Ovis aries: one gene and its partners. The protein of the gene in region 1 interacts with the protein of each later gene in a pairwise test. Links are inferred from orthologs where the notes say so. Each region holds a gene or a part of one and is shown in the gene's direction. Other genes may lie near its edges.

Region 1 (4,288 bases):
ATTGCCATTCCGATGATGTGCCTTGGAGGAGCCCAGAGTCTCATGGACTCTGGGGAGAGCTACCATGACTTTGACAGCCAGCTGTTCACAACGGTGCTGTGCATCAACTTCGAACGTCGCCAACTGGGCTCTGTGCCCTGGGCTGACAAATGACACTTGTTTGTCTTCTTGCGAACAGAGTTACAGCACGGGAGGGTAAGTTGGTGACTGGGGAAAGCTGAGTGAGCAACTGCGCCAAGCAGGTGGGATCTCTGAACCTTAACGCCTCCAAGCCAGCCGCAGGGAGGCCTCGGGTCCATGTGGAAGGAGCCTGGGCCCCACCACTTTTGGGCCCCGGGGGGAACACCGGTTTTGAGACTGGATGCCCGGGTGGCACAATGATCTCGATATTTCGGGCTGGGAATTCGTGCATTTTGTGTGCCTTGAGAGACAAAATTAATTTCTCTGGCGGGAGGGAAACGGCTTTGCAAACTGTAAAGCGCTGCAGGAAAAAAGCAGTTAAATGAAAAGGTCAGGATCCAAAAGAGCAGATGCGTTTGCTGAGTGTAACTGCACTTTCAAACCCAGCTAAGACGACACGCAGCCCCCGGAGGTGGCACATTTTGGAGGGATCTCCTGGAGAGAGATTATATGTGGAGACTGAGAAGCCGATGGAAATTGACCAAAGTTTTCAGGGGTATCTGCAGAAGTGGGGACCCGACCGCAAACCTGCAAATTCTCCTTTATCTGCTGCACACGCTCGCTCATCTTCGCTCTGGCCGGAATCAGGGTAAACCGTTCCGATGATTATATAACTTCGCGAGTTCAAGAAAGATAATCCAGAGAGAGATGATGAAATTTTTTTGAGGGTAGATTAAAAAGAATTTTTTTCCCCAAATGTAAGTTACAGAGTGCACAAAAATGTGCATACAAATACCCATATTTCCACCACTCAGAAAGAATAACCTAACATTTTTATTTATCTGGGAGAGGACTTTTTAAATTAACCATCAAATGTATCTTTCCCTCCCCCCTAAATTCTAGCAAATTTGAAGCCAAAAAGAGTCAACCTATTTCACTGTTCACCTCTACCACAGATTTATCTTAAGGGGAAATTCCAGGACACCCAAATTCCCTCCGTGGGCTTTTCACATGGCCAGGTCTGCAAACACTTGGCCGCAGTGAACAGTGTCCTGCGGAGCCCGCAACCCTCGAGTGCACAGATGCATCTTCTCCCCCATCCCCAACTCCCGCGTTCAACTTTGCAACTCACGCTCCCGCCAGGGGGCCTATTTGCTCGGCCCGTTTGGCGGAAGGATTCCGCGCGCGAGCGCATTTACGCTCAACCGTCTCCTTCCCATTCCCGCGTTCTGGCCCCGCCTCCTTCAATCTCCCTGGCCCCGCCCCCTCCCGGGTGCCCTATGGCCCACAAAGAAGTCCCGGCCGGACCGCTGCACTCCCCCGCGCGCATTCGTGCGCCGCCCGAGGCTGGCTAAGGAGTCGGCGGCCATTTTGTTCTTCTCGTGGTTCCAGTGGGGAGAGAAGGAGGAAGCAGGGAGCGGGGCGGTTGGGGGGAACCCACCGCGGCTTCTGCCACCGCCGCCACCACCACCATCTCTGTGCCCGTGGCGTGGGAAAGGAGGTGTGAATCCCGGGCGCGAGCCGGCGGCGGCGCCGCTGCGGGAAGGTCGGCGGTGGGAAGGCGATGGCGGATATAGATAAACTCAACATCGACAGCATCATCCAACGGCTGCTGGAAGGTGAAGGGGGCGGCGGGCGGCTCCGGAGACTCGCGGGGGAGGGGGATTTGGGAGGCCTGTTGGGCTTGCTGCGCCGAGACGAGTGAGCCCCGCGAGTTCGCCCGCGGGCCGGGGACTGCCGCGGGAGGGAGGTTGCCCGGCGTTCCGCGCTTGGCCCAACCTGCGGACCCTCCTGGCTCCGCTCATTCATTGCTTGAGGGTGCAGCCTTTCTCCTGGCCGTGAAATTTGAAAACTCCGCTCCCCACCCCCACGTTTCCGGTACGTACCCCCGTGCGCCCGGCACTCCGGACCAATCTTTGGAGAATATTGGGGGCCCCAGTCCAACCTACTGGACTGCTCTTTCCGAACTTCGTGGTTCTCAATCTTTTGGAAAGCAATAAGATGCGGATATGGATTTCACCAAGCTTGAGGGCTTCTTTCCTAGCCTGCTTATTTTTATTTTTTTGTGAGGCTTGGGGTCGGGGGCCCAGTTACTTGTTACTCGGTAACGAACGTTCATTCTCAGAGAGATGTTGGAACCTGTCTTCTTCTACCCTCCCAGATATTCTTTTTAAGTTGTCTTTATCCCGGGGAAGTCTCCGCGCTCTTTTCTGAACCTGCCTCTGAATCGTGAAACCGGCAGTGATGACAGTTTCGTTAGGATCTTTCCAATGTGCCAAGCTCTGTTAAGCGCTTTGCGTTCACTGACTGCATTTTGCTGTCTTTTAGTCGCATCCGACTTTTCGATCCTATGGACTTCAGCGTGCCAGGTTTCCCTGTCCTTCACCATCTCCCGGAGCTTGCTTAAACTCATGTCCGTTGAGTCGGTGATACCATCCAACCCAACCATCTCGTCCGCTTCTCCTGCTTTCAGTCTTTCCCAGCATCAGGGTCTTTTCTAATGAGTTGTCTCCAGTACTTTGCGTGTGTCGCAAAAATCATATTAGCCATGCTTCTAAAGCGCTTACTGTGTGTAAGGCATTTTTTGGAGCTCCTTACACAGATTTCATGTAATACACCAGGTAGATGCCTTTTTTTCCTGACTAAGACCCAGAGAAGTGTAGTCACTTAACCAGTTAGTGACAGTCAAGTTTCAAACCCAGGCAGCCAGGAATTCAACGTCATTCAAGTCACCCTATGTGTGAAGGAAGGTGTCCAGTGGTTGAGCAAAGGTTAAAATAAATCTTCAGTTTTGACTGACCTAAAACTCCTGAGGTGTCTTGCGATTGATTTCTATTGATGTGGGATGGGAGAGGGATGAAGTTCGGATTTTAAGGAGAGACACTGAAATAAAATCACCCACCACCCCTGAATTCTAGAGCACATCTATTAATAATAACGTCTAATTCCTAACTTTGAAAGAATTCAGATCCTTTTCTTGAGTGTTGGATAATGTAGATTTGGCTGAGTTTTAACTGCATTTTTGCCTTTATATTCTAAAATATTGTTGGACTGTAAATGCTCAGAGATGGAGTCGAGCCTAAACAGTTGGACAGCTCTGATGTTAGAATTTACAGATCTTTTAAGTCATGAGAATGAAACTTCATCTTTTCTTAATCTCTGTTAAGGTTTTTTTCCTTTTATAGTGTCTCAAAACAAAAACTCGTTAAATGAGCCCCTGAAATGTCACTGCCATTTGTGGGTGAAAACCTTGTTCATTCAGTATCTGCCGTTTATTAGAGGAATCACACTTTTAATATTAGTTGATATAGTTCTTTGGTTTATGTGAGACAGCAGTGGGTCAGAAACGGATTAAAACAATTTGCTGTAGGAAAAGAACTTAAATTTTTTTCATTCAAAAATTGTAAATTCTGCATGTCTATGCAGGGACATGTGTGGCTTTATTTCTTTGAGAAAGCTGGAAAAAATGGAAGCTGTGGATTAGAAACAGAATTTTAAGATTAGTTAGGTCTTAATTGTGGGGTTGCCCATAACTTTTATATTCATATAACATCTTGTTAATTTTAATCTTATTTTTTAAATTGTGCTAAGGAATTTGCGTTGATTAACCTGGATCATTTACAGTGAGATCAGTCATTATTTCTTAATAGTTTCTATACATGTTATGTTGTGCTGGAAAACCAGGTTTTTTTAACATTTCATTTTTTTTCATTGAAATTAGTACAGCAGTGCATTTTCAGTCCTCGGGAATAAACTAGCTGCTCAACATTCTTAACGTTTGTTTTTTTTTTTTTTTTCTCGTCAATGTTAGATTGGCAGAGAAACTATTGAAAATGATCTATTGAAGATATATATGTATATCTTTCCAGGGTAGAAGATGTTGATAAGTTTTGTGATTTTTTTTTTTTTAATGCCTCACAAAGTTTTTCCTCTAAAAATTTTCATTAAGATTTAAGTATATCTGAAGATGGAGGGAATGTGAGTTTTATGACCTTTTTAGAATTTTTTACATTTTCAGAATTGTCTAAGGTGGAGGACTATACAAGCTAGTTGAGAAGTAGCTCAGTGATAGTACTAAAAAGACCATTCAAAAGTGAAGTCTTATCTAATGAAACGTCTTGCTTTAGGTTTTAGTCACTACAGCTTTGCAGTTATTTGCTACTCTAAA
Region 2 (4,126 bases), on another chromosome or scaffold:
GCACTTGGGAAGAATGTATATCCTGCTGTTGTTGGATGGAGTGTTTGTAGAGGTCTTTAGGTCTAATTGGCATACAGCGTTCATGTTTTCTTTTTCTTTACTAATCTTCTCCCTACTCCACAATTGAAAGTGGGGTAGTGAAACATACAACTCTTATTATTGAATTGTCTGTTTCTTACTTCAGTTCTGTCAGTTTATGCTTCATGTATTTTGGCGCTCTGTTGTGAGGTGCCCTAGCTTTAATTCTGCTGCATAATGTGAATTGGATGCTATGTATGTGGACACTTTTGGTAACTCAGTAAACATTATTCCCATTTTATGTACTGTGACCAATAAATGGAATTTGTTTTGATGTGGCTTTGATGCTTAAATGGTTTTGACTAGTAGTAAGTTATTTTGTCTTGGTTTCCCAGGTGGTGCAGTGGTAAAAATTACGCCTGCCAGTGTAGGGGACACAAGAGACGGGTTTGATCCCTGGGTTGGGAAGATCCCTTGGAGAAGGAAATGGCAACCCACTCCAGTATTCTTGCCTGGAAGATTCCATGGGCGGAGGAGCCTGGTGGACTACAGTCCATAGGGTCACAGAATCGGACATGGCTGAGCACCAGAGGTTATTTTGTCTAGGTTACATAAAGATGCACTTGTGTCTGAGAAGACTTAACTTTACTACGGCAGTGGTTCATTTTAAGGGTTTATGTATATGTGAGTCTGAGTGAACTGAAGCAGTTTAAACATGGCAGAGATAAAGTATTTAATAATGACTTTGCCAGTACTGATTTTTTTTTCCTAAACTTTTTATTTAAGTATAGCTGATTTATAGTGTTAAGGTTAGTTCTAGGTATACGGCATAGTGATGCAGTTTCAAAATGTGTGTGTATGTGTATATATATATATATTTGTTTTTCAGATTCTCTCCATTATGGGTTATTATAAGATAGTAAATTTATTTCTCTGTTGTATATAGTAGGTTCTTTTTATCTGTTTTATATATTGCAGTGTATATCTGTTAATCTCAAGCTTCTAATTTATCCTTCCTGCTCCTTACCCTTTTGGTAACCATAAGTTTGTTTTCTATGTCTGTGAGTCTATTTCTGTTTTATAAATAAATTAACTTGTATCATTTTTTGATTCCATATATGTGATTTCATGTGATATTTATCTTTCTCTGTCTGATTAGCCAGTATTAATTTTTAGTGAGAATAGAGGGCAGATGATAGTGTAATGTTCCTGACTATCTCTAGAATAATTTGAGTCAGTACCCATTATTATTAAACTACTAAGAGTATCTACTTTTTATACAACCAGGTCCTAAAGTATATCTGGCTTTGGAGGAAGAAGGAAATAGAAAAGTATCCTTGATGTTACATCTTTTGACATAAGTGGTATCAAATGAGCAAATTGAAACCCAGAGCTTTATTAACTTGATGAAGGTCACTGGTAGGTGCTCTTTTCATTTTCTATTCTCTTAGTCTTTCCTTCAACAAATATGCCAGGCTGTGGAGATGCAGCTATGACCCAGTCAGACATGAATGATCCTTGCTCTTATGAATTGTCTGGTGGGATTCTTTTAGTGTAGTCTTTGAGTCCTATTTCATATAGTAGTGACATAGAATTGTAGAATACTTTATAAAATATTTCTGCATTTTAATCTAATTTTATAACTCTTATTGCAGTCTTGTGACCCAGGTGGGTTAGATATAGTATTGCTGTTATTCCCATTTGAAAACTTAAGGAAACTGAGACTTAGGGATATTTAGGTGATGTAGTAAATGGCTGAGTTAATATGCAGACCCAGATCGTCTGGCTCCAGGGATCCTGCACTTCTTCCATTATGCCATTGTCTCACTGTTTCACATGAGACTACAAGCCTAGATCACCAAGAGTGATATTCCGGAAAATAATCAGCCTCACAGCATTTAGCAAAGCAGAGAGCTCTGTCAGGCAGGGCATGTGGGACGAGGAATCAGGAGACCCAAACGACTGTGTCTAGTGCGCTGGTCTGGACTTATTTCTAAATAACGCATTGAGAAGGAATAATTTGGAGGGAAACTAAAGCTTGAGACACATTGCACGGACGTGGTCTCAGCAGCACCTACGTGGGCTCACAGCATAGTAACTGCCAGGGACATTTTTTTTTTCCTAGAACAAAGACTTGAAACAGATGGTGAATTCAAGAAGTGACCTAAACAACACCAGAGTCCTAAACAACAGCTCCATACAGAGCTTCTACAGCTGCAAATCAGAGTCTAATCTTTATATGAGGAAGGGATTGTTTGTTTTTCATTGATTACCTCAGCTGCTATCACACAGGTTCAGAGATAGCAGTCTCTTCAGTAAAAACAATTGAGTACTTCCTCTGTGTAAAAACACTGTTAGGTATTGTGGGAGTGATACCAACATAGGTATGATGCCATCCTTGCCCACAAGGAGCTTGTAACCTAGTAAGGAGATTTTGCATTCATTCAAACAATATGTGTTTATCCAGAGTCCATTATGTGTCAGGCCCTGTACCACATGTTAAGGAAACAAGAGTAGATAAGATAGAAACCATCCCTTTGCCTTTAGCTTTTACTTTCCATTGCCTGAAGAGTATTCCTTACCTTCTTCCCCTGAATCTAAGCACTCAGAAATCTTTTTAGAGAGCAGAACATGAAATTCTCTTAGCAGGACAGTAGTCAGCACTGCTATTCTTGTAACTTGGCCACAAATAGAACCCCACAGTTGTGGGTCAGAGCTTAGGCATCATGCTATGAAATATTTGCATCTCATCTAGTGTCACATTAAGAAGAGTGCAAAACATCCTGATAGAAGAAACGGATAAGAGATCTGAACAGATCACAGAATAGAAAGTAAAAAAGATAAAATGTATGTCAGTCTTATCGATAATCAGAGAAATGGTGATTAAATAGTAAAATGATATTTTCACCTCTCTCATTGGCAAGAAAGTTGGTTAGAGCAAATTTAAGTAATAATTACAAGACAACTTTATTGAATACTTTCTCTGTGGCAGGCACAACAGTCTTTACAATAATCCTAGTGAGGTGGGTACTATTATTATTATTGTTTTATTGTTAAGGTACTTGAGGCACAAGGATAGAGAAACTTGTCCAAGGTCAGACATTCAGTACTTACTAAGCCCAAATTTGAATTCAGGCAACCTATATCTAGAGCCTGTACTCTTTTTTTTTTAAAATTTATTTTAATTGGAGGATAATTGTTTTACAATGTTGTATTGGCTTCTGCTGTACAACAGTGTGAATCAGCCATAAATATACATTTGAGCCCTCCCTCTTTCTAGAGCCTGAATTCTTAATCACCAAAGTGGTGCCTTTGTCTGAATTGGTTACCATTATGCTGTATGCTCAGCCTAAAAAAGGTCTTAACTATTTGTTGAATGAATTCTTAAAATGAAAATGTATTAGGCATATCATTTTTAGGGTAGTTTATGAATAGCGAAGAAGACACATACTAATAACTCAATAATCCTATTTCTTAATATGTATCTTAAAAAAAACATGTGTGTAAGGAGGCACTTACATGGCAGCATTCTTGGTACTTGTTGAAAAATAGAAAATGTAAATGCTCATCAGTACTGTAAATAACTACTAACATAACTAATGTATCAGTTCAGTTCAGTCGCTCAGTCGTGTCCGACTCCTTGCGACCCCGTGAATCGCAGCACGCCAGGCCTCCCTGTCCATCACCAACTCCCGGAGTTCACTAAGACTCACGTCCATCGAGTCGGTGATGCCATCCAGCCATCTCATCCTCTGTCGTCCCCTTCTCCTCCTGCCCCAAATCCCTCCCAGCATCAGAGTCTTTTCCAATGAGTCAACTCTTCGCATGAGGTGGCCAAAGTACTGGAGCCTCAGCTTTAGCATCATTCCTTGCAAAGAAATCCCAGGGCTGATCTCCTTCAGAATGGACTGGTTGGATCTCCTTGCAGTCCATGGGGCTCTCAAGAGTCTTCTCCAACACCACAGTTCAAAAGCATCAATTCTTCGGCACTCAGCCTTGTTCACTAATGTATAGCTCTATATAATTATTAAACATTTAAATAAGCTATGATATAGGAATATTTAAAAATTCTATATGCATAGATAAATAAATGAAGTATGATGTGGAA
Region 3 (3,500 bases), on another chromosome or scaffold:
GTAAACTATGTAATGAGAATATATGCTACCTGAATTTTCCCCCATATACTTTTTTAAAAATTTATTTTAAAACTATCCTTAAATGTTTTCATTTGTATATATTGCTGCTGCTTGGCCATATAAGGACTTACACTTACACTTGTCTATTAAGTGTCCAGGGATAAGATGAATGATTGGTTTTAGCAGACAACCTTATTTAAATAATAATGTCTTTCATCAAGGAGGTGGTTCCAGCATGTTGCACCATTAGAATATCTTGAGAACTTCAAAAAATACATCAGTATTTAGGCTTAGTCCTCAGAAATTTTGATTTCATAGGTCTACAGTAGAAATTTGACAAGCTCCACAGGTAATAAACATGCACCCAGGATTTAGAGCCATTGTGTTAAAGCAGGAACCGGGTAAGGTGAGGTAGGGTTGTGAGAAAGGTAGAAATAGGAGTGAGCCTTCGTCATTTCTGTCTCTTCTATGTTTACAGTAAAACAATCCAGGAGAAGAGGAAAATGAAAGGTCACTGAAAATCCAGAGTTCAAAAAATGAACTAGATTTTTCTTTTTGTCATTGTAGACATTCAAGGACTTTAATGAAACTTAAATGGTTCAACAAAAGATGCTCTAATGGATGACAGCGAAACTCCTGCATATAATCTGCAGATAGAACCGCAAGATGGATGTCATCCTGGTGACGGCGTGGAAAGTATAGTAACATGCTTGCCTTCTGCATCAGATGAAAATGAAAATCAACTTGATGGGGATGGGCTTGAGCTTCTGACCAGCAGTGACAGTGCAATGGGCAAACCTGAAGTGTGGGAGCAGGACAGTCTGAACAATAATGAAAGCTGCACACCAAGCTGTGAGGTGGCTGCAAGTGAGAGCTCAGAAAGCATTTCTTGTGAAAGCCCCAAAGACGGGCAGGCCCTCTTGAGAAAGGACCACAAGATACCTGGAAGCAGAAGTTCAAGAGGCAAAAGAGGCACTGTAAAGAAGATACCACAAGGTATTTTTTTTTAATTATTATTTTTAACTAAGAATAAACAGTGTTCCCATCCCATACTGTGTGTATTGTCCTGCTTCTTGCTTTTCTTCTCTTAATATGTTCCAGAGCTAGTTCTGTGATAGCACATACAAACCACAGCTGTGTGGTATGCCATGTATGTGACATGTGTCTATAGTGTTCATTGTATGGGTGTGCCATGAAGTATTTAACCACTTTATGGCTATTCCCAGTATTCTATAATAAATGTGTTGAAGGTGGCATTTTTTGTAGATGTCTTCTCCCTAGATGCTTTTAATGTATGTATATATGTATATATATATATATATATAGCCTTTTCCTATATCTGTTAGACCCTTTTCTACCAATTTCAGCATTAAAAATTTCCTTCCATTGTCACTTTGGCTTTGATTTCTAACCAGTGAGTTTATGGGCTAGTCCAGTCTTACACAGCTTTTTTGGATCTTTACATCTCACTTCATTAATGTATATTAATATACATCATATAACAATGTTGAGTAAGACATCTAGCTTTATGTTACTTTGGTTACAGAGTATTTTTCATCTGGCATATAATTTAGCAGTTAAAATTTGGAGCTATGGACTTTTTTTGCCTGAATCATAAGGCACCCTTGCGAAAAGGCAGCCTCTGGTCATTTTTTGATCAGAACCATGTGGGTCTAGAGAGTTCTGGACACCTTAGTCTGGGCCACCTTAGTGTAGCAGCACTTTACCTACACCTATGGCCTGTGTGAGGCTCTGGAGAACAAAATGGACTGTCTCATCTGCCCTCTTCTACTTCTTTGGCTGATTGAGAAATATGGTCAGTCTATCCATATCCTGTTTTTTTATTTGTATTTGTTTATTTGGAGTAAAATATGAAACTTTTCAGTTTCTACAAATCCTTGTTTATTCAGTAGGGCAATTTGACAACTTTTTACTGTAACTCATCATTTGGCTTTCCAATTAATGGATCCCTTTTTCTTTGCTTTTTCTTAGTAGACGTAAAGCAAAAAAAATTCTGATGAGAGATTTGAAAGCATTTTCTTAAAAGACCTAAGTGTAAACCGATGATATACACAGCGCTATTTGTATGTAAATTGATTCACTCTGTAAACATAAGTCAAAAGTTATTTGTTCCTTTCTGATGTGACCTTGCGATGCTTTTAAGAACTGAGACCTAGTTGCATATGTGTAACAATCAGTCATAGCTTCAAGACTGATGGCTCCTTTTATTTCTTCCATGATCTTATTCCAGTTACCCTAAGAGTGATTATATAATTTCAAGTTATTTAGTACTTATTATCCCGTGAGCAGATATGTGTAGAATTAGTATTCCTAATGCATTTGAAATATATGATTTACAAAACTTAGGGACACTTTTTATACAGATTATTTTTTAAATTATTTTATATACCTTCAATAAAATGAGTTTAAGAGTGTAAGAAAACTGAATTATGAATTGTAAAACCTAAGTTCAAATCTCATTACTTCTGGTTGTTGGTCACTTGGTGAATCTTAACCATTCTGTATTTTAGTTTCCACATCTGTGTAATGATGGTGTTCATCTCCATATATCTATAAAATTCCTTTTTGAGCTGTGAATTTCTCAGATTTCTGAATCGAGATGGTACAGTCTAAACTCAATTAAAATTTGGTAATTCCTCTCTAGTGTATCTGTTGAGTTTTTCATGTGTAAGCAATACATTGGTACATTTTTGTTTTTAAACATCATCTGTAACTGGAGTACTGCAAAAGCCCTCTGCAAACATTTCTTCCATCTTACGTTTTGCCAATCCATTCTGCATGTTAGAATTAAAAAGGCAGAGAGTTTATAGTTAGAGATCTAGACATGAGCATATTTACTCTTTTCACTATTTGATTCCTAGATCCTACGTAAATAAAGTCTCACAGTTTTGCAGATAAGTACTTTTCTAATAATAGAATAGCTTCTCAAATGTGATTTGAAAGACATATAGAACATGATGTTCAATCCCAAACCAGAAGTAAGTTTTTTATAGCTGGGTGCCCTCTCAACAGTTGTTTTTTGGAAACAAACATAAAGGTGAATTTATTTACTATTATGCTTACAGGTGGTGCTAGTGGTAAAGAACCCAGCTGCCAGGGCAGGAGGCCTAAGAGACGTAGGTTCAATGGCTGCGTTGGGAAGATCCCCTGGAGGAGGGCATAGCAGCCCACTTCAGTATTCTCGCCTTTAGAATCCCATGGACAGAGGAGCCAGCAGGCTACAGTCCACAGGGGCTCAACAGACACGACTGAAGTGACTTAGCACACATACACACATTATGCTTAATTTGTAGTAATTTTTCATGTATCCAGTAGCTAGTACTAAGGGAAAAAAAATTGGAGTAGTAGTATTAGGAGACATCTTTATTTACTGGTTATCTGGAGGCTACATTTCTGTAAACATGCTAAAACCTGGAACTTGTCCCCAGGAAAATCCAGTTGTCATTATATTACGAGAATTTTTTTTTCGTTAGGAGAAT
Region 4 (4,160 bases), on another chromosome or scaffold:
CTTCCATCAAGCAAAAACCTAGGTGATTCTAAAGCATGTAATTACTTGTGTCTGTGGCCAAATTTATGGCCTATTAGTGAAAACACAAGACATCGTTAAATTTCATTAAAATAAAATATGTGCCCCCAGTTTGGACAATGAGTTGCTCAAAAACATTCTAAAGTGATTTTAAATACATGAAAGAGTACACACCTTTGTGGCTCAGCTGGTAAAGAATATGCCTGCAATGCGGGAGACTTGGGTTCGATCCCTGGATTGGGAAGATCCCCTGGAGAAGGTAAAGACTAACTCTAGTATTCTGGCCTGGAGAATTCCAGGGACAGTACACCATGGGGTCCCAAAGAATCAGACATGACTGAGCGACTTACACTTCACTTCAAAATTTTCAGGCCCATTCACTGTAACTGCTATCCAAATTGCAAATTTTAAAATCTAGTCACTAAAATCAATTATGGAAAATCGTCCGAGAAGGGGGTGTGTATGTGAAGGCAAGATTATCCGATTTTTCAATAACATTCCCTCAGTGTGTCTAAGTTTAGATATTTGCAGATTTTCCACATCTGCAAATACGGTACACAGAAGTGAAACAAATGGTTTTGTCATGTTTTCTTATTCAGTAACTAAACGCAGAAAAAAATCCTGTATCACACGCAGCATATCAAGTCATGCTCAGAAGCAAAGTGAAAATAATGGATCACAACTGAAAATTACAGTGCTCTCTTTAATCAAAGTATTTGTTCACTTCTCACTGCCCATAGCACAGCACTAACAATGTCTCTGAACAGTGTTGCTGAAGTAGAGCCTTTATACGAAATCAGGAGTAATACTGTTTGCTGCGTACATTTTGTAAATGGAAATCCACCCAAGTAAGCCTGTAGATCCGATTTTGTACTCAACAAGTGACTTTTAAAACCTAAAACTGGTAAACTGCTTTCCCAAGGAACTTCAAACTAAAATTTTCTCCAGGGAAAGATGACACCTGCGAATATGTCTTATCAGCCCTGCAAAGGGACACTTGGAAAGGTACGGCGAAGGCAAGAGTCGATCAAAAAGGCTGCGGGAAAACTGCGCAACAGCCTGGGGCTGAGGACCGAGACTTCTCCACCCGCCTTTCACTCCGCCTTTCCCAGCGACTCTGTGCTGGGGGCCCGGCCGGGCGCCTCTTGCGAGCAGGCAACAGTTGCCAGGAGCAGCTGGACTGAGGACCGGCAATTTGCCCAGCCACTTGTCCCTTCTCCGTCTTCCCTCCCTCCCTCCCCGAAGGCCGAGGACAGCGACGCCTCCTCGCTCTTCTCCTCCTCTTTGGTGCCTTCAGCCAGGAGGCGGGAGTGACCCGCGCGGCAGCTGACCCAGCACAGGCACTGCCTCTCCCACAGCCCTCGGAGCACACCATGGGCCCAGGGGCCGGTTTGCAGCACAGCAGCGACGACGCAGGCGGCAGCCCCGGCGACGCTCAACTGCCTCCCTGACCGCCGACACCACCGCCCTACACCCCGAAAAACGATCGCCACCAACGGCAGGAGACTCTTAAGGGCACCGCAAAACACCGTCGCGAGCGACTCAAGCTACGTCAACAACTATGGCAGGCGAGGGGCGGCGGGCGGAGCCGGAGAGGGAAGGATGGGCGCTGTACGTCACGCCCAGGGCTCCGCTACGGGAGGGAAGGCCCCGGCTCGCCCCTCAAAATGGCGGCAGCAGTGACGTGCCTGCGTACGGAACTCCTACGCCGTCGCGCCACGGCCGGCGGGAAGTGAGGTTCTCAGAAGAGCCGCCCGAAGTGTACGGCGACTTCGAGCCCCGGGCGGCCAAAGAAAAGGCCCGGGTGGGAAGACAGATTCCGCTAGAAGGGTTCCGGCCCGATTCGGCGAAAGAGGAAGTGAGAGAAAGCGCCTATTACCTTCGGTCTCGGCAGCGAAGGCAACCCCGACTCCACGAAGCCGAGGAGATGCAGACTCGGAGAGCTACTCGCCTCCAGGAGCAGCTGCACTCGCCGCCGCCTCCGATACGACCCTCTCCGGTTACGACCAGAAGAGGATTACGGGACTCCCATTCATCCGAAGGTGAGACAGTCGGAGGTAACAGTGTCAGCCGCGAGTCAGGGAGGGAGTGCCGTGGGCGGGTACGCGCGAAGGGTGTGCGCGTCCTGGGCGGGCGTGTGCCTGCCTTGAGCTCGTCCCCTCTGAGCTTCTCCGGTTTGGACGTGAGCCCCCACCCCCGGGCCGCCCCGTCGGCTGGCGGGAAAGTGGCAGGGCGGGGGCGCCGGAAGGAAAGGCGGTCGTGCGTAGTGACCTGAGCACAGTCGAGGAGCCGCGTGCTTCCTTGGGCATCAATTTAGAGGTGTCAGGATTGCCCGTTTTCTGCAGGCCTGCACTTCGGGGCGGCGAGTTAGGCAGAAGGCAGGACACTGAATCACTCAGAGTTCAGTTTCACATCGGTTTCATATCGGTTCTCTCTACCCTGGGATGTTTCTGCCAAAGCCACTTCCATTTCCTCCTTTAACTCCGAGGCCAGAAATCCTTCAGTGAGATTTGGTCCTCATCTAACCTTCCAGTCTTTCCCCGTCACTATCCAGGAGGGGAGAAAGGAAGGGGAATTTCGTGAGTGGCCGTTTGAGGACTAGCATAGTTGATGAATTGATTTGAGATCCCACCCACATGGTTTACACTGAAACGGGGTCAAGGCAGTCATCCTGAACCTGAAGCTTCCCAGTGTGTGATAAACTTGAACTGATCACTCTTTCTCTAGTGTGGTGGTCTCTGCCAGAAATTCGGATGTTGGGGACCGTCAGTGTAACCTCAGTAGTTAAGCAGTAGCGTGACAAAGCAAGACTTTCATTAGTTTTCATCTAAATGGGCCACAGGGTTACTGACAAAGTGATTGTGTAGTTTTAGGAAAGTCACAGATGAATGAATCATCGCCGGTAATGCATCCTGTCCCACGCTGCCCCTATCCCATCTAACACTGAGTCACAGATGGAGTTTCATGTTGGCTCCAGGTAGCGCACCTGTGAGGTAAAACCAAGGGGTTTGAATCATAATGGGATTACATAGTTGGTAATAGACCATTGGTGGATATGATGAAGAGGAGGTGGATTTTCTCAGTTTAGAGCTGAGAAATAGACTGCACATTGCCTGCTGATGCCTGAAGTGCTGACACAGTAGAAGTGTTGATGATTTTGGAAATTATGTTAAAGATATGTGAGTTACTGTTGGGAGTAATACCAAGACCGTGTAACCCCTATACATGTTTTATCTCTTTTAAGATTATAAACTTCTGAAGACAAAGATCCTACATATATACACAGATCCTACATATATATTTGAGGGACCATGTTATACTTCAGTGTTTATGTTCTTTCTGTATCTCCAGTAGCTAGAAGAATGCTTTGGAAGGCAAAGGAAATATGCTAAGTTGTATGACTTCCACGCAGGCCTATGCAATTGTAAAAGCTAGTTTGTTTGTTTTTTGTTTAACACACAAAGGATTTACTTCTATTTTTAGTAAATCTATGAGAATCTACACGTTTTTCATTCTTCCTCTTTAGCCCGTCTTTTAAATTTTCTAGAGTAATATTTCTATATTTATTTTGTAAAGCATCATTGCTGAGTAGTTTATTTTTATGTTGTCCTAAAGAGTAGTAAGAACTACTACTAGTTCAATTCCCAAGTTTTGGTAAACCTAATTTTTTGTTGTTTAGCGTCCCCTAAGTCGTGTCTGACTCTCTTTGCCACCCTATGGACTGTAACCCACTAGGCTCTTCTGTCCATGGGATTTCCCAGGCAAGAATACTGGAATGGGTTGCTATTTCCTTCTCTAGAGGAATCTTCCCTACCCAGGGGTCAAACCCAAGTGTTCTGCATTGGCAGGCGAATTCTTTACCACTGAGTCACCAGGGAACCCCTTAATTACACATTTCTGAAGAGATTGAAACTGAGTGGGCCCCTGTGAGTCTTGCCATTGTTTGGAGGCAGTACGATAGCCATTATGACCTTCTCTGAGTTCCAAAGAGCAGGTTCCAACAGTCGCTAATCAAAGTAAGAACAACCAAGAACTCACCTGATGCAAGATTAAAAGGCCCAGATTAATCATCAGGATTAGGAGACTGACCACCTGAGATGAGAGTAAGGGAGTGCAAACCCTGCTCACACCCTTATCTTGTC
Region 5 (4,186 bases), on another chromosome or scaffold:
TCCCCTCCTGTGGCCAACCAACATTAAAAGCAGGCCACTCGGAGGAACAAAAAGTTACTAATTTGTTCTTCACCAGCACTGATAGATTCCGTGCTCTAAACTTAAAATCAGAAAAATGGTCAGTCATAAGGGACAACGGAGTGGAAGTCTCTTGCCCCATGATTACAGAATAGAACACAGGAGACAAGACGAACACACAGAGAACAGTGACAATGCCGGCACACACAAAGATGCGACGAACCGAGGAGAGAAAAACTTCGGCCGAGAACACAGTACTAGGTCTTCCTGCCCACCCCCCCCAAACCTTCCTATCCCTCGAGGTTACCTTACCGAAGGGCGTCCGCTGCCCACCAGATTCGGGATCAAGAGAGAAGCTCTCTTCCCTGCAGAGCCAGCTGCCTTCCAGCGTGTCTGCTGGGCCTTGGCCTTATGCTGGCTAGAGCAACTAGGTCGCCCCGGACCAGACCTGACACCGGTGTCCAGATACCTTTCTTCTAAATGAGGAAACCCCTTCTACTGGGAGGGTGTTATTCTTCTCAGTTAAAAGGGATCCCGGATGAGCCCCCAAATGTTATGCCCGGAGCCCGAGTCCCCAAAATTGAGAGAATAAGACGTCCACAGCAATGCAAAAACATAAAGGGATTTTATTGCTAGCTCGAGCTAGGGCTAAGGTCTCATCCAGCACAGTGGAATCCAACAAGAGCCCCCAGTTCTGAGTAACAACTGCTTTTATAAAGGCAGTTCTTTGTCTCAGCAAGCGTAGCCAGCGTGTGATGATTGGCTAACGCGTGTGAATTTTGAATCCTGCATCCCTATCCGGATTGGCTCAAGCCTGGCATGCATGGGGACTCTCCCGATTGGCTCAGAGGTATAGTTCCCGGAATCATGACTCAGGTCTATAAGAATCCGAAACTTTTAGGCCTCGTGTAGCTTGCTGAGCCTGTCATGGCTCAGGTTAGGTCCTAACACTACTTAGCAGTGAATAACACTGGAACCACGGTGTTGCATAAATACATGCAAGTCTAAGACATACCTGTACACCTGGGTACGTACCACGCCTTTAACAGTTCCAGAGCCCCCTCGGCCCGTCTACGCAGCTCCCTTGGACCTAGAGGGCCGAGGTGGGGCGCGGGGGAGCGCGGGCCGCCGCGGAGGGGCGAAGAGGGCCGGCCGCGGCAGAGGGGCGGTTTCCTAGGCGACCGCTGAGCTGCAAGTGCGCACGCGCGAAGCCTGGCTGATGCAACCTCCCGCGCGCAACCGGGTCTACCGAGAGTAAGGAAGCCGACAGGGACCTGGGCGCGGCCAATCGGCGGCCGCAGGAAAGAGCGCGGAAGGGCCCGCCCCCGGCCCGGCGAGTGACGTCAGGCGGCGCGGGGCTGGTGGCGTAGCCGGCCGCCATCCTGCGTCTAGTCAGCCTGCCTGGAGCGGTGTTGCCGCGGCGCTGGCCCTGCGGCCATTTTGAGCTTCGCTTGCACCCGCTTGCCCTCCCAGACCAGCCCTTCCGGGGTCGCGCTGCTGAGGGGCATCTCCACGGTCCGTGCCTTCGAGGAAGCCGCCGCCGCCGCCGCCGCGGAAGGGCTCCTATCTATGGTGGAGCGGCGCGGGCCGGAGTAGGGCCCCTTCTCGCTGTCAGGATGGATGTCGCCTTGGCCGCCGCGTCTTGTGCCCGCCGTTCCGGACTGTGGCCCGCTGCCCGCGGCCGGAGCCGCTCTCCTTGTTGGCTCTTCTGCTGGCCCGGGGGTCGGCCTGGGGCACCCACTCCGCCGCTGGGGAAGGCCGAGACTGTGTAGGGCCTCGAGCTCCGCGTCCCTCCCTCCCTGAGAGACTGCCGACACCGGGAGATGGAGCCGGCGGCGGACGGCTCGCGGAAGCCGGACCCCCGCTTCCGGCTGCCCTCCTTCTTCCCTCGGCCCTCGCGATCAGGCACGTCCAGGATCCGCGCACCGCTCGCCCCGGAACCCGACCCCAGGCTGGCTCCCAGCCCCCCGCCCGAGGCCCGAAGCAGCTCCTGGATGCAGCTGCTTTCCCAGCTCCTCGCGCCGCTCCCGGGCTTGCTTCAGAAGCTGCTGGTCTGGAGCCAGCTTTTCAGTGGGATGATCCCTACCAGATGGCTAGACTTTGCTGGAGGCTACAGCCTCCTGAGGGCCCGGGAGGAGCCTGCCGCCCCCTCGGCGCCCAAAGCTCTGAGTTCGCTGCGGCTCGACCCCTCGGCCGACGCGGCCGCCGGTCCCCTTGACTGGCTAGAGGGGGGCCTCCACTGGCAGTGCTCGCCCCCAGATCTGGAATTAGAACTTAAAACCAAGGGAAGAGCTTTGGACTCCGCAGCCCATGCTTTTCTTCTGGAGCAGCCGCTGTGGGGAGTGGAGCTGGTGCCCCGGAGCGTCCAAGCGCGTCTCTTTTCTGACCCGGAGCTTGGCCCTTCGCCCTCTGGACCGCTCAACGTTCAGCGCTTAAGCAATGTCAGTGTCGTCTCCTATTTGCTGAACCCCTCCTATCTGGACTGCCTGCCCCGGGTTGAGCTGAGCTATCAGAGCAGTGTTGGAAGCTGCGAACTGGTCGATTTCCAGGCGCTGAGTCCAGAGAGCGGCTGCCTGGATGAGGCCTCGTCTTATCCCCAGCCGCTCAACGCAGAGATGGCTCCCGCCTCGTGGCAGGGATGTCCGCCTCTTTCTAGAGAAGGCCTGCCCGAAATCCACCATCTCCGCATGAAGCGGCTGGAATTCCTTCAGCAGGCCAGCAAGGGTCAGGCTTTACCCACCCCTGACCAAGATCATGGCTACCACAGCCTAGAGGAGGAGCACAGCCTGCTCCGGATGGAGCCGAAGCACTTCGGAGATAGTCCGACTCAGTGTGTTCCTGCTGCTGGAGCCGTTCCCGGAACCGCCCAGGAACCCACTGAGGAGAAAACAGAATTGTTGATTAGAGAAGTTCCTTTTGGATTGGAAAGACAGAGCCCCTCGGGAGGCATTCCGTCTTGTGAGACTGGACAGGAGCTTGGAGAGGACCAAATAAGTGTAGTTGACCCTCCAGACATAGACGATGACCTTCCCATTTCTGCCAGACCAGCCTGTAGTAACAAGTTGATAGATTACATTTTGGGAGGTGCAGCCAGTGACCTGGAAACAAGTTCTGATTCGGAAGATGAGGATTGGGACGAAGACGTTGAGGATGACGGTTTTGATAGTGATAGCTCATTCTCAGAATCAGACCTTGAGCAAGACTCAGAAGGGCTCCACCTTTGGAACTCTTTCTATAGTGTGGATCCTTATAATCCCCAAAACTTTACAGCAACAATTCAGACTGCTGCCAGAATTCTTCCGGGAAACCCTTCTGATTCAGAAAAGGATTTGTCTGACAAGTCTGACCTAGGGAATTCTCCCCACACTGGAAGTCTTCCCGAGTCTCCTGATCATAATTCTGGAGATGATGATGACTGGGAATCTAGTGCAGATGAAGCAGAGAGTCTCAAACTGTGGAATTCTTTTTGTAATTCTGACGACCCCTACAACCTTCTAAATTTTAAGGCTCCTTTTCAAACAGGGAAAAATTGGAAAAGCTGTCTTGACTCAGAGAGGCCATCTGAGCCCATTTCTGAGTGTCACACCTTACTTTCCTGTAAGGGGCAGCTGTTAGGGAGCCGGGAAAGTAAATGTCCAGACTTGGTACAGGGTGTGTTTCTTTCTCGAGAAAGACACACACATATCCGGAGAAAAAAGGTTTGTTTCTTTTATCATTCCTGATAATTTGTGCTTTCTGTTTTGATGTGGGAAAGCATGAGTTTCCTGGAGCCATAATAGGGCTTATTTTTTTAGGAAAGACTCCAAGCTCTTACACTTCGGTTGAGAAATGATCATCTCCTTTTCCCTCATGTAGAGTGTTGTTCCTGTCTGAATTGAAGGTGCCAGTGTATAGATGTTAGCTTGAGAGTGCTGTTTTCTTTTGGGTTGGCAGCTCTGGGCTGTTTCCCTTCAAGTTTCAACTTTTCACTTTTTTTAAGGAACAGAAAAATTAAACTTTGTGTGTACATGATTCAATTCTAGAGATTGAGAAGGTCCTATTGTAGCAGTAGAGTTTTGTGGTATTAAGTGATGTCATTTACAGACAGTTACTCCTCCAGTCTCAGGATAACTGTTTTCCTGCCTCTCCGTTAGAACCCAAAGGGATGATGGTACCAAGTAGCGAATCA
Region 6 (4,283 bases), on another chromosome or scaffold:
CAAACCCAAACAGTGCCCCTTCAGCTAGTTTTGGTTGTTCTGAGAAACTAGAAGATCTGCTTTTAGTTGGATGTTTTCTTTAAAAAATCAAGCCCAAGTGATAAATAACTGCCCCAGTGATAACTCACTTTTTCTTTAACCACACCATTTTAACACTTCTGCTGCTGCTGAACGGTGATTTTAAAGACATAGGGATTTTTGTACATTTTACATTGTATATTCTGTACATTTTTATGGACTGCTGGATAACTAAATTGAGAGCAGAGCAAGGACATGGACTTTATACAAACAATTCCTACTCGACTTAGAAATTTAATTTTATGGTTGTAACTGATGATGGTCTAAAAACTCCCCAAACTAAACAAAATTACAAAACCTCGATGAGAATAACCGGCCTGGGAGAGTCATGAAACTTACAGTGTGATAGTTTAACATTTTGGTTTTCACATCGCTGCCAGAGGACGTCAGAACCCAGATGAGGGATTTGGGTTGACCACTGGCTCTGCGGGCTGACCCACCACATGAGCAAAAGAGGCCTTTTCATTTCTGGCTTTAGTTTTCTCTTCCAGGGAGAAAAGCTGAAGACTAGATTGAAATACAAAGTACCTTTTAATGAAATGCTGCCTCATTGTCTTATAATAGGGCTAACACAGACTGCCGGTGGCTCAGATGGTAAAGAATCTGCCTGCAAAGCAGGAGACCCGGATCAATCTCTGGATCAGGAAGATCCCCTGGAGAAGGGCATGGCAACCCACTCCAGTATTCTTCCCTGGGAAATCCCAAGGACAGAGGAACCTGGCGGGCCACAGTCCATGGGATCTTAAAGAGTCGGACAGGGCTGAAGCATTTAATACGGACTAACACGGTTTATTAACAATATTGGTTAGAGAAGAATGTACTGTGTGGTGCATTTCCGGGTTCACCCTAACCCCAAAATATGCAGTCAACTTCTGATTGCTCAGGGCAAGGAAAGGGAGAAGATAAGCCAATGCACCAAGCAATGAACAAGATAAACATTTCAAAACTATAAATATAAGCACACACACACATCCCCTTCCCCCACCGCCACCCCTCCACGCGTCCCCGGAACGAGCCACAGTGTCCTGCCCTCAGATAACTGTATACAGAAGCCTCGCGAGTGAGACACCTCCCTCCCTGCAGCCCCGCTGTGTTGGCGCTCCGCGCGGGAGGAGGTTTGCTGCTTTCCCTCCTGGCCTGCGCCGGCTACTTGTGCTACGCGGTTGCCTCCACGCCTCCTCGCCCGGGGTTCGCGTTACTCTACCCCGGCCAGCTGGCCCGGGGTCCCAGAGCGCCCCCAGCGCCCGGCGAGCCCTGCACCACGGCAGTCACGTCCCGGCAAGGGCTCGCGCCCCAGCTGAGCGCTGGTTGGTCGCGCCGTCGAGCCCGCGGCCCAGCGATTGGCCGTGGCAGTCGGCTCACGTGGTCCCCCGCAGTTAAGCGGCCTCCCGGGGGCCGCACCCGCGATCTGCCGGAGCTGCGGCCACTCGGGGACTCCCGGGAGACGCGTGCGAACTCTCGCAAACCGCGGAGTGCCGCCGCTCCTCTGCCTGATGAGCTGCACCAGGTAGGTTCCCTGCAGATTCTCCGACCCGGAGCTCAGGGAGCGCGCAGCTGTCGGGAGGCTGGGATGCGTTTTCCTGCTGTCATCCCCGCCCCGGAGACCCCAGGGGAGGGCGGGTTGACAGGCTGCTGAAGAATCTGGCGCTGGGGAGGCCTTGGAGGTGTGAAGATTTGCTCTGAGCATCTTAGGCAGAGCTGATTTCGGTAAACGGCATCTTAAACCAGAAACGTGAGTCAGCTTTAGTTCTGATTCCCTCGTGGATTCTAACCGTATCTCTTGGTCCTGCACAGAGGTCTCAAGGACTCGTGGGAAGAGCACTCAGATTGCTGGCTGTGTAGTTTAGCTTTGGGAAAAACTTAACGATGGACGATGTTCACTTTCCTTGGTCCTCTTTCCTTCTTCTGACGGTTTGCCATAGCAAAGCCAGTCTCGGGAGTTTGAGCAAATGATTATTTTTAAACTCTTCGGCCAGACTTAACATTCCAGGGAAATCGCCGTATCCTGAAACTGTCTTTAGATAAGTGCAAAATGTGAAAATACAGGGCAAACCCCCAAACAAAAAAACCACCCACAAAACTACTTAAATAGCTTCTTTAGACATAACTTAGCAGAAGACGTCTCTAAAATTTCCGCCTGTTAACTATTATTAGACCAATAAATATAGCTTTCTCTCTCATTTGTTTGTTCTAAGTTTGTAGGTCTCCCAGAAAAATCCTAGGGCTAATAAAGTGAATTCTCAGAATATTCTTTTATTACCCATCTTATGATAATGACCATTTGGCTATGTGCTTAGAGCTGCTGGGAAGACAGTTACTAAAGCCGGAACGAGAAATGTCACATACAGTATACACACACTTCTTATCTGAAGGCTAGGGTAGGGGAAAAATGTCCATAAGTTTGGCAATGTATACTCAGGGCTAAAGGCCAGAAAAAATACCTTTCTTGATGGACACTTCATGGTTTAATATTTCTGGGCATAGTTATGTCTAAATTTTAAATAGCTTTATTATCTTTCTAGTTATAAATATCCATTGCCAGAACATTTGAAAATACCAAAAAAGTACAAAGGCAAAAATAGATCACCTATCACCCGGAGATAATTGTTAACTTTTTGTTGTGCTTCCTATTAGACTTTTCAACATTTATAAGTTCATATATGTGTTGTGTGTGTGTATATATATATATATATAAAACACATTTATTGAAACTATCCTATTTTCAGGTTTGGCTTTCCCAGTGACTCAGCGGTAAAGAATCTGCCTGCAATGCAGGAGACACGGGTTCAATCCCAGGGTTGTGAAGATTCCCTGGAGAAGGAAATGACAAACCACTCCAGTATTCTTGCCTGGAAAATCCCATGGACAGAGGAGCCTGGTGGGCTATAGTCCATGGGGTCACAAAAGAGTCTGACATGACTGAGTGACTAAATAATGACAATAATTTTCAGATCATCAGATTTTCCCACTTAAATGTGGAGTTGGCATGGATGTCTTTTTGGGTGAAATACAGATTATGTAAAGATTTTTAAATTCATAAATGGCTGCCTTGCACTTCAGTAGGTTATTTGTGTAAAATGGGGAAGAGCATGGTAATGAAAGTGCAGAGAGAATCCTCTAATTTACTCTTTCTAGTCTTTGGCTCTCAAAACCCTTTGCTGTTTTTATTCTTTCTTTTTAAATGGATTATGGTTCCAGAGAAGTATAATTAATTCAATAGCAAAATCATCAAAGCAGTTGAGGGAGTGCAGTTTGGAACTTTGATTCTAGAACCTGTCTGGTCATTGGCTTACCTGGGAAGCTTTAAGAACATATATACATTCTTGTCTCCATCCCCAGGGGTTCTGCATTAGAGGCTCTAAGTCCAAGGATTCTGCATTGAAAAAAAAGAAATCCAACCCACTAGGCCATGGTGGGGGCTTCCGTGGTGGCTCAAACAGTAAGGAACCTGCCTGAAAACAGACAGGTTTGAGAACTGGTGCTCCAGAACAGAGCAAATGGTTTTAGAGCTGTATTAGAGTTGATCCCATCCAAATCTTTTATTTCTCAGATGGAGAAACTGGGACACCAAGTGTTTTAACCCGTGGCCTATAGCCTGTCAAGGGCAGAGCCAAACGTAAGATGCAGCTTTTATCACCTAATCCTGCATTCCTTTACTTCATGTGAGAGCGCTGTGCTGGCTGTAATAGCCAACAAAAATAGTACAGACCTACTTGGGACCAGGGGAAGTGCATTCTAGGTGCAGATGATAACCCCTCTTCTTTCTGTATTCTAGAATGATCCAGGTCTTAGATCCACGGCCTCTGACAAGTTCAGTCATGCCCGTGGATGTCGCTGTGAGGCTCTGCTTGGCTCATTCCCCACCTCTGAAGAGCTTCCTGAGCCCTTATGATGACTTCCAACGAAGAAATTTTGTGAACAAATTAAAGCCCCTAAAGCCGTGTCTCAACATAAAACAGGAAGCCAGAGCTCAGGACGGCTGGAAGCCTTCACACAACCAAGCCAAGAAGCGGGTGGTGTTTGCGGACTCTAAGGGCCTCTCCCTCACCGCCATCCATGTCTTCTCAGACCTTCCCGAGGAGCCCATGTGGGATCTCCAGTTTGACCTCTTGGACCTGAATGATATCTCCTCAGGCTTAAAGCTCCACGAGGAGAAGAACCTGATTCTGGATTTCCCTCAGCCTTCAGCTGACTACTTAAGTTTT
Region 7 (4,016 bases), on another chromosome or scaffold:
CTTTTCTCCAGCTGGATAGACTGGGCTGTTACAAGTACAGTTATTGCAGTGATGGCTGCAGACTGCCACGGGACACAGAAGTGGAGAAAGGCCCTGGGGCTGAAACCTGCGCCGGTCTTTGCAGAGGCCCAGGTGCTCTTGGAGCCTTGTCTCTGAAAAGTGAGTGTAGTGGGAGGCAGGAGTGTCATTTGTGAACATCTGCTGACTGTAGGCAGGTGCTGGAAAGGCAGGTGACAGTTGTCCTTGCCCTTGCCCCCAATTTGTCCTTCTCTCCTTGGCTCCAGCAGGCCTGAAAGAATGTAGTGAACTTTGTGCAGCCCTCCCGGGGCAGTGAACTTCCTCATAGCAAGTACACGGAGCAGGTGTGCCCTCAAAGTCAGTGTTGGGACTGGGCGGTTTATCAGGTGAATGGAATGTGCCCCGGCTATTATTGCCCTGTGTGCTATGGACTGCTGTGGGCCTGCTTGTGTGCGTTATGGGCTTCCACACTCCCATCCGTGTTTGGTGGGCTGTGGACGACCAAGGGTGGATAGTTTCCACTACTTGTCTGGGCAACAATAGTGGATTCTAGGGGCCAGCAAAAATCAGAGATTCCTGAGAAACCGGTTACTCAGCACTGGGTGGGGCTCCAGCCGTTGCTGTCTCCACTAAGTCCCGCAGGAGGCCAGGACCGCAGGTGGGCAGTCCTTGGACCCATAGGCACCTGGGCCAGGAAGAAGGAGGCTGGCGTACAACCGGCGCACCGCTCACGGGAGCGAGACAGCCTTCCAGTCCTGGGTTGGCCCTTCTTCCACCCCGCTTTCCGCGGGATAACAGGCGGACAGACCAAGCGCAGCCAGGGTCACCCGCGACGCGGGTCCGGGGGTCCGGCCTGCCTGAGGGGCAGAACCCGCCCCCTCCTGGCTCCGCCTTCCGAGCGCGGCCGGCCTAGGGAGCAAAGGCGGAAGTGTGGGCCTCCCTTGAGGGGCGTGAGGCGTCGTGGGCGTGTCCCAGGGGGCCTCCCCAATAGGGACCCACTCCGGTGCTGGGCGCTGTCCACTGAGGTCGGCGGGAGGGCGGGGTCGGGGAGAACGCGCTCCAATCAGCGTGGTCGGCCACCCTCCCTGCCATAGGTGGGGCCGCGGGGCTGGGGCGGGCCTGAACGGGCCTCTCCCCCAATGGGCGGCGGCCCGGGGGTGGGGCCGCTGCGCGAAGGCCGGCGGCGGGCGGCGGCCGCAGTCCCCGGCGCGCGCTGGCTCCGGCGGCCACTCTGCAGCATGGCCGGCTTGGGGCGGCCGGGCCCAGCGCCCCGCGCCGCGATGCCTGCCTGGAAGCGAGAGATCCTCGAGCGAAAGCGGGCTAAGCTGGCGGCTTTGGGCGGGGGCGCGGCGCTGGTCGCTGGGGCGGGCGCGACGGAGACCGCGGGGCCGGCTACCGAGCCGCTGGTGCTGGCCGAGAGCCTGGGCCCGCTGCGCGAAAACCCGTTCATGCGGCTCGAGTCGGAGCGGCGGCACGGGGCGCGGCGCGGCGGGGGCGCGGGCGTGGCGGGGCCCGGAGCGCGGCCCGCGGAGCAGCTGCTGGAGCTGTACTGCTGCGTGCCCGGAGTGCGCACCATCCGAGCCGACAACATCCTCATCATCGAGTCGGCGCCCGGCTTTCCGTCCGCGCCCGCGCCCAGCCCGGGCCTCGGTCCTGGCGGGACCGCCCACATCCGAGCCGCGGAGGTGCTTGTGTACGAGGCATCGCCGCCGCCCGGCCGCGTCAGCCGCCTGCTCCAGAAGTTCGACCCGCCGGCCGCGCCGCGCCGCCGCGGGAGCCCGGAGCGCGTCCGCCCCACGCCACCGCCCTCTCCGGGCCCGGCCGTTCCGCGCGTGGGCGAGCGCGCCGCCTGCTTCCAGTCCGACCCGGAGCGCTGCGGCTCAGGCCTTGGCCCCAGGCCCCGGCGCAGCGACTTCCTGCACAAGACCAGCAGCAACTCGTTCACTGTCCACCCGCGGGGCCTGCGCCATAGCGCGGGCGCTCGCCCACTCCCCAACGGGCCCGCGGCCCCGGAGTCCCGGGCCGGCTCTGCCAAGGGCTTTGAGGGCTCCGCGCCTGGGCCAGGCGAGTGGAAGCCAAAGGTGGAGTCGGGGGAGGCCCCCGCCCACCAGTCCCCCAGCCAGGGGACCCCCAGTGCCACTCCAGCCGCGGCTCCGGCCCTGCCCACGCTCAGCCCTTCCAGTGCCACTCCCAGCCAGCGCCAGCGGGTCTCCGCGGCCGCCAGCGCCAATGACTCCTTCGAGATCCGGCCAGCCCCCAAGCCAGACATGGGCAGGATCCCTGCTGGGGATTTCCAGGCCCGGGCTCTGGCCAGCCTTCGAGTGAACTCTCGAAACTCTTTCGTAGTCATCCCCAAGCGCAAGACCTCTGGGGCTCCTCCTGGGGAAGGGAGGCGGTCCATGGCGCCTCCAGAGGAAGAAGTTGGCTGGGCCTCCCAGCACCCAGAGCCTGAAGCCCAGCAGGTGCCTGGAGTGGATGATGTGTTTTCAGCGGGGAGGAGCCCCTCCAGGATCGAGGAGGGGGGCAGCCCCGCACCCGCCACTGCCCTTGTGGACCCTGCCATCAGGTGGCAGAGGCCGCCCTCACCACCGCCGTCTCCACAGGCCGCCACTGAAGCTGAGCCTGCCCAGGGCTTCCAGACTCCTGGCTTGGCCAACAGTGGCAGGGAGCCTGGGCGGCCAGGGCTGCCCATCACTTTCATTGATGAGGTGGACTCGGAGGACGAGGTTCCCCAAGAAGCCAAACTGCCCTGCTCCGGGGCTGGCGCGCCTCCCCAGTACCACCCACATCCGACCAGGCCTGGGCACTTGTCAGAGCTCCAGCGTCGGGGTGGCAACACCTTCACAGTGGTGCCTAAGAGGAAGCCAGGGGCTGTGCAGGCCAATGGCGTGGCCAGGCCAAGGGAGGCCGAGGAAGAGGAGCCAGGCAGAGTTTCAGAGCCCCCTGCTGCCGTGGGGACCTCGCCGAAGAAGCGCTACCCCACCGTGCACGAGATCGAGGTGATCGGTGGCTATCTGGCCCTGCAGAAGTCCTGTCTCACCAAGGCTGGCTCCTCAAGAAAGAAGGTGAGTGGCGGGGAGCAGGGTCCCCAGCAGGGAGGGGGAGAGGTGGCAGGTCACAGATCTGTGGGTGTAGCATGTGGCCTGTTCTTAGGACACCTGGGCTGGGTGCGGGATGGCGTCTACGTGGACCAGAGGGGGCCGGTGGCTGTGCACGCTCCAGGAGAGTCTGGGCTGGGGGAGTCCCTGGCACGGGTTCCAGTGGGATGCTGGGGACCCAGGGGCTCTGTACATTGAGAGGCTGGTGGGGACTGTGGGTCCAGCCAGGGCCGTGTCTTCTTGTTGACTCTCGTGGCGCTCTCTGGAGTTGGCTGGGCAGTCCTGTCCCAGGTGGGCCCTAGGTTTGAGGAGTGGCCTAGCAGGGGCCAGGGTGGAAGTGGGAAGGGGCAGGAAGCCCTTTGATTTGGATGGGGTGGGAGTCCTGCTCAGCTCCCCAGAGAGCATACCGGCTTCACGCTTAGCAGGACTTGGCTTTGAGTGAGGGTTGACAGGCTGGTCTGAGCCTGGGCTGAGCTGCTGGGGAGTGAGGAAAAGGCTGCCCTCTCTGGGGAGGCCTGACACCCTCTGGGCACAAGAAGGCGTTCCTCAGATTCTTCCTGGTCATCTCGGCAGCAGGGTGTTACCCCGGGGCGGATTCCAAGGCCAGCCCCGCAGGGCTGTGATCAGCAGGTGCTGTGGAGAGATGCACTCTCCTCCTCTGCCCGTCCTGAGGCTGCCTCTGCCCTTCGCCTCCGAGGTTGGGGCCGTGGGGGCGGTGGCATGCTGGCGTCATGGAGCCCCCTCGCCCGCTGTGCTGCTGGCGTTGTCTGATTAGACGTGGCACCTTGCCCGTCTGCTTCCTTTGGCCTTCCTGCCTCGGGGTCGGCCTTGGCACTGCCTCACTCCCTGCGTCACCGTCTCCTGCCGCTCCATCTGCCCGGTCAGGCCGCGCCTCTCCCC

The links.
Region 2: the proteins of PPP1CC (region 1) and ZFYVE9 interact in binary tests that used the Homo sapiens proteins (3 or more experiments, as listed by UniProt). The link is inferred for Ovis aries from reciprocal best matches to the Homo sapiens genes PPP1CC and ZFYVE9.
Region 3: the proteins of PPP1CC (region 1) and CNST interact in a two-hybrid assay, tested with the Homo sapiens proteins (2 studies listed by BioGRID and IntAct). The link is inferred for Ovis aries from reciprocal best matches to the Homo sapiens genes PPP1CC and CNST.
Region 4: the proteins of PPP1CC (region 1) and TOR1AIP1 interact in binary tests that used the Homo sapiens proteins (3 or more experiments, as listed by UniProt). The link is inferred for Ovis aries from reciprocal best matches to the Homo sapiens genes PPP1CC and TOR1AIP1.
Region 5: the proteins of PPP1CC (region 1) and PPP1R15B interact in binary tests that used the Homo sapiens proteins (3 or more experiments, as listed by UniProt). The link is inferred for Ovis aries from reciprocal best matches to the Homo sapiens genes PPP1CC and PPP1R15B.
Region 6: the proteins of PPP1CC (region 1) and PPP1R3C interact in binary tests that used the Homo sapiens proteins (3 or more experiments, as listed by UniProt). The link is inferred for Ovis aries from reciprocal best matches to the Homo sapiens genes PPP1CC and PPP1R3C.
Region 7: the proteins of PPP1CC (region 1) and TPRN interact in binary tests that used the Homo sapiens proteins (3 or more experiments, as listed by UniProt). The link is inferred for Ovis aries from reciprocal best matches to the Homo sapiens genes PPP1CC and TPRN.

Annotation. Positions count from the first base shown.
Region 1 is NC_056070.1:54,611,194-54,615,481, reverse strand, and holds the start of PPP1CC (serine/threonine-protein phosphatase PP1-gamma catalytic subunit), read left to right. Parts: upstream 1-1,488; 5' UTR 1,489-1,684; coding exon 1,685-1,739; intron 1,740-4,288. UniProt on the Homo sapiens protein: Protein phosphatase that associates with over 200 regulatory proteins to form highly specific holoenzymes which dephosphorylate hundreds of biological targets.
Region 2 is NC_056054.1:26,595,239-26,599,364, forward strand, and holds the start of ZFYVE9 (zinc finger FYVE domain-containing protein 9), read left to right. Parts: upstream 1-1,326; 5' UTR 1,327-1,437; intron 1,438-4,126. UniProt on the Homo sapiens protein: Early endosomal protein that functions to recruit SMAD2/SMAD3 to intracellular membranes and to the TGF-beta receptor.
Region 3 is NC_056065.1:30,032,825-30,036,324, reverse strand, and holds part of CNST (consortin), read left to right. Parts: intron 1-567; 5' UTR 568-617; coding exon 618-996; exon of another isoform or gene 997-3,500. UniProt on the Homo sapiens protein: Required for targeting of connexins to the plasma membrane.
Region 4 is NC_056065.1:60,482,826-60,486,985, forward strand, and holds the start of TOR1AIP1 (torsin-1A-interacting protein 1), read left to right. Parts: upstream 1-1,360; 5' UTR 1,361-1,579; coding exon 1,580-2,060; exon of another isoform or gene 2,061-2,108; intron 2,109-4,160. UniProt on the Homo sapiens protein: Required for nuclear membrane integrity. Induces TOR1A and TOR1B ATPase activity and is required for their location on the nuclear membrane. Binds to A- and B-type lamins. Possible role in membrane attachment and assembly of the nuclear lamina.
Region 5 is NC_056065.1:2,002,225-2,006,410, reverse strand, and holds the start of PPP1R15B (protein phosphatase 1 regulatory subunit 15B), read left to right. Parts: upstream 1-1,386; 5' UTR 1,387-1,841; coding exon 1,842-3,716; intron 3,717-4,186. UniProt on the Homo sapiens protein: Maintains low levels of EIF2S1 phosphorylation in unstressed cells by promoting its dephosphorylation by PP1.
Region 6 is NC_056075.1:13,013,262-13,017,544, reverse strand, and holds the start of PPP1R3C (protein phosphatase 1 regulatory subunit 3C), read left to right. Parts: upstream 1-1,483; 5' UTR 1,484-1,571; coding exon 1,572-1,585; intron 1,586-3,853; coding exon 3,854-4,283.
Region 7 is NC_056056.1:737,608-741,623, forward strand, and holds the start of TPRN (taperin), read left to right. Parts: upstream 1-1,216; 5' UTR 1,217-1,256; coding exon 1,257-3,083; intron 3,084-4,016. UniProt on the Homo sapiens protein: Essential for hearing. Required for maintenance of stereocilia on both inner and outer hair cells. Necessary for the integrity of the stereociliary rootlet.